2 linked regions of the Tribolium castaneum genome follow. The protein of the gene in region 1 binds, or shares a complex with, the protein of each later gene. Links are inferred from orthologs where the notes say so. Each region holds a gene or a part of one and is shown on either strand. Other genes may lie near its edges.

Evidence for each region.
Region 2: the proteins of unc80 (region 1) and unc79 are in contact, whole or in part, in a cryo-EM structure (PDB 7W7G), measured with the Mus musculus proteins. The link is inferred for Tribolium castaneum from reciprocal best matches to the Homo sapiens genes UNC80 and UNC79. Residues at the interface, in NP_780719.2 of Mus musculus: Gln23, Thr24, Trp27, Ser31, Leu34, Arg35, Pro36, Ala80, Pro83, His84, His87, Ser94, Asn95, Asn180, Ala183, Leu187, Phe190, Leu191, Arg337, Leu340, Gln341, Pro342, His343, Arg1317, Asp1320, Glu1321, Asp1324, His1545, Val1546, Asp1547; in XP_030102533.1 of Mus musculus: Thr120, Tyr123, Ser127, Ala130, Thr131, Leu168, Ser169, Ser172, Met175, Ile176, Gln179, Tyr180, Tyr207, Tyr211, Gly212, Pro213, Ser214, Val390, Cys391, Glu394, Glu402, Phe405, Arg472, Cys541, Asp917, Phe920, Ser965, Glu966, Phe967, Ser968.

What each region holds. Positions count from the first base shown.
Region 1 is NC_087397.1:22,897,301-22,900,954, reverse strand, and holds part of unc80 (protein unc-80 homolog), read right to left. Parts: intron 2,817-3,654; coding exon 2,665-2,816; intron 2,609-2,664; coding exon 2,459-2,608; intron 2,412-2,458; coding exon 2,281-2,411; exon of another isoform or gene 2,268-2,280; intron 2,238-2,267; coding exon 2,007-2,237; intron 1,957-2,006; coding exon 1,781-1,956; intron 1,732-1,780; coding exon 1,520-1,731; intron 1,397-1,519; coding exon 1,275-1,396; intron 1-1,274. UniProt on the Homo sapiens protein: Auxiliary subunit of the NALCN sodium channel complex, a voltage-gated ion channel responsible for the resting Na(+) permeability that controls neuronal excitability.
Region 2 is NC_087403.1:5,611,663-5,616,043, reverse strand, and holds the start of unc79 (protein unc-79 homolog), read right to left. Parts: upstream 2,929-4,381; 5' UTR 2,237-2,928; coding exon 2,134-2,236; intron 1,861-2,133; coding exon 1,741-1,860; intron 1,695-1,740; coding exon 1,533-1,694; intron 1,487-1,532; coding exon 1,316-1,486; intron 1,264-1,315; coding exon 713-1,263; intron 667-712; coding exon 452-666; intron 402-451; coding exon 1-401. Other genes in the region: uncharacterized protein LOC662811, read left to right, coding at 3,288-3,297. UniProt on the Homo sapiens protein: Auxiliary subunit of the NALCN sodium channel complex, a voltage-gated ion channel responsible for the resting Na(+) permeability that controls neuronal excitability.

The DNA of each region.
Region 1 (3,654 bases):
ACGGCTTGTTCCATTGAATTCTACAGCTCATGTTACGTATTATACCGGCATTTCACAAAATTTAAAATTTTGAAATTTTTTGCTGAGTGATAAAACCAAAAATAAAAAAAATTACTTGTTCTAGCATAGTTACATGGACTTTTCTATGCCTTTACAAGCCTCTCGAGTTGCTAAAAAAACAAAAAAGTGTATATGTTCAATTTTTTGATGTTTGATTTTTCCAATTTATGCGAGATTTTTGACGATTTTCGGTCCGATTACCAGTACTTCGGGTACTTTCGAAGCTATTAAAGATAACCCTATGAACTTTCTTATCGTTGGAAAGCACTTTTAATCATCTATCTTTCTAAAAAAAGATCATTGTTCTTCGACTTATAGTTTTCGAGAAAATTGCAATAAGAAGCAAAAATAGATCAAAAAAATTCATAGCCAAAAAACCATTGGAAATTTCGTAATTTTATTGACGCCAATAGATCATACTCGGATCATTTTACATAAGCTAGAATCAAAATAGTTTTATTTTTTCAAATAATTTTGTCGTATTAAACCCGCCACATTACTATTTGGAAAAAGAATAGTGTAGTTGACTATTCTGCAAAAATTAATCCAGAAAATTAAACACATTTGAAATCGATTTGTTGGTTTGTAGAGCAGTGTCCTTCAATTCCTTATAATGCGCTAGATTTTTACTTTGCAAACCTTTATAAAATCAAGAATGAGTAAATAAAGAAAAAATCACTTAATATCAAGTCAGATTAGCTTACTTTTTACAAAAAACTACTTGAAAAAAAAATTTTGATTAATTTGGCCGTTTCTGAATTTTTTCCAGGTATCACGTGAGCAAGTTTTGACCTACTTTATACACGAGACACTTTTGTAGACAGTGGAAACTTTTTTACTAATTTCAGCAAGTCTACGGTGTAGTAAATATATTCCATTTCTGTTCATAGTAGAATTGCAACAGCGCATTTAAATTTTTTGGAAAGAAAAATAAAGCACAAATTGAGAGTTTCTGTATAACAACAAAATTCTATGTTAAACTAAATCTCAGCGATACACTTTGGGCTAAGAAAACCTACCAGAAACTCTCAATTTGTGTTCCATTTCTCTCAAAAAAATTCAAATGCGTTGTTGAAAAATTCTACTATGAAGTGAAATTGGATATACGTTAGATAATTTATTTATCAGTTTTAGTGAACAGTTAACAACGGTAAAGCATTAAACAAACAAATTTTCTGTATCATTAACTAATCAATACAAAAAATATTACTGACCTTAAACTCGGCATGCTTTTCCCTTTAACCAGATTGCTGGGCATTGGTTCAAACATTTTTGACATTGCAGAACTTGGTCTTGATAAATGCTCATCACCTGTATCTAAACTGCGATGATAATCCTGTATGAAATAAAAAACAAATTAGTTTATCAGCTTCACGTTCGAATTTTTGGAACAAAACTTACAACAATGTGTCACAAGTAACAGAGGAAGAAAGAACAAAGATAGTGAGAGGATACATACACTAAGCATTCGTCTTGCACCCACCGCATGTTCTCCTAATGGTTTCGGTTCATCTTGGCCAATCTTTTCCAAAGCTTTGTCGGATTTTGATAAAAGTTTGGTTTCAACGAAAGCTTTAAGATCTGCCATTTTCATTCGCTTTTTAGTTTTTTCACTAACTCGTCTCAAATGAACCGGTTCATCTAATGATTTTTTATTGGTGTAAGGGGATTCTAGAAAATCGTCTCTCAGTTTTTTCATTAGAAACGATATTGTTTGTACCAGCTAAAAGAGACACATCTTTAACTTCGGGAACTTCGATAAAATCTTTATTGTTTTCTTGTTTTTTGAGCTCAGTGCTTTGATAAAGTGAAACTTCGATTTTCGGTATTGGGAGAGAATTGCTTCTACGACGTGGTTGTTGTTGAGCAGAAGTTTCTTCGCTAATATCTCTCAATCTTTGAAGGTTTATAAACTCAAAATAATTTAATTAATCACAAGGTATTACCTGTTGTATAAATAGTGCAAAGCCCAGTAGATTCCTTCCTCTTGCCAATGCGTTATAAACAAACATCTTAAAACAGCAACATCTAGATATGTAGCTGAGGTTATATCACCAGTTTGACCAGGAAGTGTTTTGCGGGAACCTTCCATATCTCCCCCAGGTCCTTCAGTCGACGCGTGTTTACTACTATCAACTGAATCTTTGTCAGTTGATGAACTAGAAGTTTTTATAAACCTTAATCAACATTTTTACAACATTCTTAACTGTACACATGTACCCGATTTTTTGTATGGCGGGCTTGCTCTGTTTGCCTTCTGTACCTACAGGAGTTGAAACTTCTCCACTTTTAACATTGTTTTTGCTGCCAGTTGTTTTTCTCATAGCAAGTTGAAATAAACTAGTTTCAGCCTAGAATCACTTGTACTATTAATATTTTCTTTTTTCACCTTGATTACCGTATAAATAGATGGATCTCGGATAAATCCATCCGATTCGTGCAGAGATGGTAGTCTAAAAATAACAACATGCTCTTCTTCAGTGCTGGAACTTTCTTCAGGAATTGTTTCAGGAAATACCGTATCTTTTGGAGATGAAACCCAATTGCTCTACAATTTTTGTTGTTATTATAAAATTTGGCTAATAATTTTACTTGTTTACTTACTTCATCATCGGTTATTTTCGTAATAGTGGCCGTAACTGTAACGGTAGTCGAAGATGGACCACAAGAAAATAAATGTTGTTGTTCGGAACTAGAAGCACTAATGCCTTGACTGGGAGGACTTTCGTGCCCTAAACCGTCTTCCGATGGTTTACCTGAATTACGATTATTTGTCTACATAAAGCTAAACTTAAAATTTCCCGTGGTAAGTTGTTTCAAAAAATTTGTAAAGTTCCTAAATTTTTTTTTCAAAAATTTCATTTATGAAACATGATCTCATTTTTCAGTCTTGTAGCTCACCAACTGTTTTTTAAGCGATTAACTAAACCATAACATTTTAGATGGGATAAATAAATAGAATCAGGTTGAAATTTGCTTGTTCCTTTGGTTGAATCATTTCACATTAGTTTTCTGTTAAATACTACTAAAATAATAGGAGATTTCATTCTCGATTCCTTTTTTGTAAAATTATTGTACTCGTACAAATGAAACGTTTTACATAATTTGTTTGATTCGACAAAATAAAGGTCGATGTTTTGTCAAAAATTTTATGGATTTTGAATGCACTTTTATCAGGTTTTCAAGTAAAATTATTCCGGTTCCTAATTCAATCGTGTCTGACGGCTTTAATGCCTTTGATTCGAATTTATTTAAATTCACTAAACTTCCGCATTTTTTTAGAATGATGACAAAGTTGTATACAATTTTACAATATTATTCCATTATGTAAAGTCGAAAGTAAGTGCAGTGACGTTGTGTCTTTACCAAAGAAAAAATAAAAATCTAAAACCAATAAAATCCGTATAATAAAAACGATAATCACTAGAAAATTAAGAAAACCATTCGCTTTAACTCTTTAACTCTAACTTTAACTTCAACTATAAATTTCATCTTGAATAATAATTTTTCAAGAGATCAAGTTTATAATTTTTGGTTTTTTGGGTATATTGAAACTTAAGCTTGTTACTTAACTTTTAATGAAAATTAAATGGT
Region 2 (4,381 bases), on another chromosome or scaffold:
GATGGGGTAAAAGACATGAAATAAAAAGTTTATAGTGGGTTTTGCTGATTTCTCTCAGCCAACCACACACATTTTCAGTCTTTAATTTCTCTAAGGTACTTTCTTCCTGGCCTGTACAAAACGCAAGATAATAGTTACACAGACTTTGAAAGTAAGTTGCTTTACCATCATATGAATATGCAGTCATATGAAACCAATGGAAAAGCATTGCTAAAAGCCGCCCTAATACTTCATTTGGTGTATTGTCTGTTGGGGTACATCTCCCCACCAACAACCAAACACCGTATCTACCTAAAAGCTGTCGCTCCTCTACTGTTATATTGTCAACAGCAGGGATCGGAGCTTTACCCTCCACGTTCTCCTTTGTCTCAACCGTGGGGATTTTTGCTTCTTTCAGCAAACTAGAACAACCAAAGTAACATTTTCGCCACCAGTTCGGAACTCACAGTACCTCACAATAGCTTCCACCATGTAGGTCTGCATTTCTGCATCCATGCTCCAAGTCGGTGGCAAGCTTTTGTGGACGATGTGATCTCCTCCCCTTCTGTTGTTGTGTCGATTGTTGTGACACTGCTCGCAATATCTAATCGGGTGATTGCCGTTGTAACTCGCGCACTCGGTCGAAAAACAGATCGAAATTGCCGACTTATCAGTCGATCGACAATTCTACAACTCCTCGCTTAGGATTTATCTAACGTCAGTTGGGACTTACTTTATTTTCGCAAACCATAGACACTTGTTGCATCGGGTGTAGAATATCGAAAAACATTTGATTGGGGTGCTCCCTGTGGATCTCGTTAGCGCACTCAATACACAAGTAAAGGGGCGGCGGAGTATCACTAGCGAAAGTGATTGAAATACAATGATCGTAACACACTTTGGCGGCTTCAGCGTTTCCGGCGTTTGGACACATGTCTCGTTTGCAAACGAAAGGTGTAGGATCTGCGCAAACGACATTTCTGCAACGACTTTGTGACATTTTTTCGGGTTTACCTGCGAACTTGCAAATGAGGTTTTTCCGGTCAAATAAATTCGCGTTGAACGTAGGCCAGTAATAAAATAAAAGCTTGGCTGCTGAGGATCGTGCTGTTGACGTACCGTAGGCGATCACGCTCAGAATGTCCTTCAGAATGTTCTTCTTGAGTGTCATCAGACATTCGAGGAGTTGACAGTGATGAGCGGGGTTTGTTGAATACTGGAACACCATCATGATTACGGCCGATACTGACTGACAGATTTCTTGCTCTCGGTCGTTGTGTCGTGCTGGAATGGCCACCAAGTGAAAATTGGAACGTGGTGGAACTTGGATAATTACTTATCGTAAACGGAAGGATGTAGAAACATAGCGAGTTGACAATGTCTTGGTGGAGGCTGCTAGGAAGGACTGCTATCGAGGATGCGGTTAAATAAGGCAAATTATCAATCAGGTCGTGCTCTAAAAAGGGTAGAAGACATCCGAGGCATTGAAGGGTGGCTTGTCCGAAAGCTGAAATTGCGATTTTTGCTAACTTGGCGCAAATTCAAGGACTTACAATTGAGTCCGTATTGGATGAGTGGCGCAACTTCGATTAAAGGAACGAGTGAATTGTAAAGCCCTTTGTAGTCTAAGCTCGGAAAAAGTCCCATGCGTACTGAATCCATTTCTGGATTTTTCAAAAGATCTAGAGGTGAATTGGGTACATCTTTGAGAACGGCTAAAAAGAGATTTTGGAGCGAGTTGTTTCGAAATGACGGACTTACTTAGGAGTGTTTGTGTGAAGTATTTGATAGTGTTTGCTATGTCAACCCCCGAAGGAGGAGGCATAACCCCCTGCATAAGCCGCAGTTGGTAGTCATATAAGCTGCGTATTTTGGCTGTAACTAATGAAAGGATTTGAGCAAAAGTTTGGACGTGTTGTTGGCACCGACTAGAATTCTGAGCCTTTCCAAAACATGAACTTGTGATTTTTAGTAAGTTTAAGAAAGAATAGTAGAAGTGACTTGGAAAGCGTGTCAGTTGTTAATTCAAGTTTTGGAAAGTTTGATAGGTGGATGTAGTAGCACGTTCTGGTCAGTGCCACTGGTGAGGACTGAGCACATCGATATATACAAAGAGAGTGTGAAGAACGACATAGAAGGTATAAAGTTGCTTACATGCAGCAGCACGAGTACCCATGTTGACAATGCAGTCACAATAATCAAACGCAAGGGAAACACTGAGGTCACATTGTTTAAAACGTGCGGGAATCTTCAACATGGGGGCAGCTTCGTTATCCCATTACAAATCAATAGTGGTAGAAAATAAGGGACAACTGAAGGATTCTACAAGAACAGAGGGACATAGACACGTGGCTAGGCCCCAGCAATCCCAGCATCCTCTCCTATAGGAGATCGATAGCATCCTGCCACCCGACACTCGCGCGCGCTAAAAATACGATTGCTACTTACAATTAGCACTTACATCGCATATTAATATAAGAGCGCATATTTAATAGATCTGTCGTGAACATCAGTCTAAAATTGAGCAGAAGCACTGAACATCAGCTGCCTTAGTTCGCAACCAATCGATATATCTTCATCAATAGGTTCTCTCCAGAGTTGCGCCTTTAACCGGAATCCGGCACTATTCGCAATCTACTTTAAAACACGTATTTACTTAAAACTAAAACCAAAACCTGTCGACAACACAGACAATCTAGCACTTCGTATAACTACTCGTCTGAACATTTAAATGAACTAAACCCAAAAACACTTCTTCTACCTCCCCTTTGCAATGTACAGACCCACTTGTTCTCAAGTGGAAAACAAAAATTACATCAAAAACCAGTGATCGGTCATGGCTGTCCAGCTCATACAACCTGCCATCGTTAAGCAAATATTGACCACAACAATTTTTCATAGAAGAAGAGAAAAGGTGTCACACAAATTTCGACAACGATTAGTGCAAAATCAAAAGAAAAACAACTAGTCAGCCTTTCGGGCAACTTACACCAAAATTTATTTATAAATTCACGAATAATTTTGTTCAGTTTTTCGCACTAAATCGAGAATAAGAATTTTAGCACTAAATTTGCGCAAAACAACGTGTTAAGGGGGAAATTTTAAGCAAAATTCTCCGGTAAACACTGAAATCATCAAGGGATATGCTGCAAGCGTGCGCAACTTTCAGACGAGGGTGGGTCTTTCATCTTTTCGATCCGTCCATCATCCAGTTTCCCCAGTTTCCCGCGACTTGGTCCTGTTTGGTCCACTTCTGATCTCCACAGCCTCACAATCAATAATGACATCCTGTTGACAGACGCATTATCATGGACACAGGTAAGCACATCAACACATCATAAATCGCATTTTTACATCTACACACCTTTTCACCCCTGTCGGATGCTGCAGTTTCTTCAATTTTTAACTAATCCGACCCATTTATCCCATTTAAATGCCTTACAGAACGCACAAAATGCGAAAAAGGTGAAACTTTCTGTTCTGTTTACGGAAGAATTATTGATTTCTTGTCAATTATTACGGTTCGCCCTTTAATTATCAAGGGTACCTGACAACAGTTTTTGCAAACAAATCAACAATCATTTTTTTTTTCATTTAATTTTTGGAGAACAACTGTTGCCATTTCATTTATTTAGTCTATTTTGGATTCATGTTGTTTATAGGCTCCCACATGGGGACATAAAACGGCTTTTATGGCCCAGACTAATCCAATCGAACTTGTTACAGGTTGAGATTGATTTTTTCGAAAACAAAATTTAATAAAACGTGACAGCGAAATTGTGGTAAAAATAGAGGAAAGACATTCTATCGCTTATTTTTGAACGAAAAGACGCTGCATTATTAATCGCTGTTACAACCAGGAAACCAGGGAGTGGGATTATCTCGCTTGTTTAATTGTGGGATTTAGGGCAAAATAAAACAACCGTGTCATGCCGCCTTATTTATTTGTCTAGCACATTTGTTGAACCCCACACGTGACGAATTACCTCGAGATACTTTTATAGAAAATTGAATCATCTACTAGTCAGAGTTCAAGAAACTGACTATTTACTAGTAAAAGTGTAAAGGTGATTTATTTGTGTGATTCATACGTATTATTAATTACGTGTTGAGTACCCAGATAATGGTTCAGTTAAAAAATGGGGTCTTAAAAATAGTCCGAAGTGGGTCGGGATTAAAAGATTAAATCGCTATTCAGGTACCAGACTTATAAAATCCAAAAATAAACGTTGCTCGTACACATTTTTTTCTTCACATACGGAGGTGATTTTTTATGGTCGTCTATGCCGGTTTTTTCCAAAGTCTAGTGCTTTCTCAGAACGATGAAGGTGAAAACAAAATCGTCACTGCTATAAATGGCACTTGGGTAAAGAATCTTTGGGAAAGCGTGACTCACTAAACA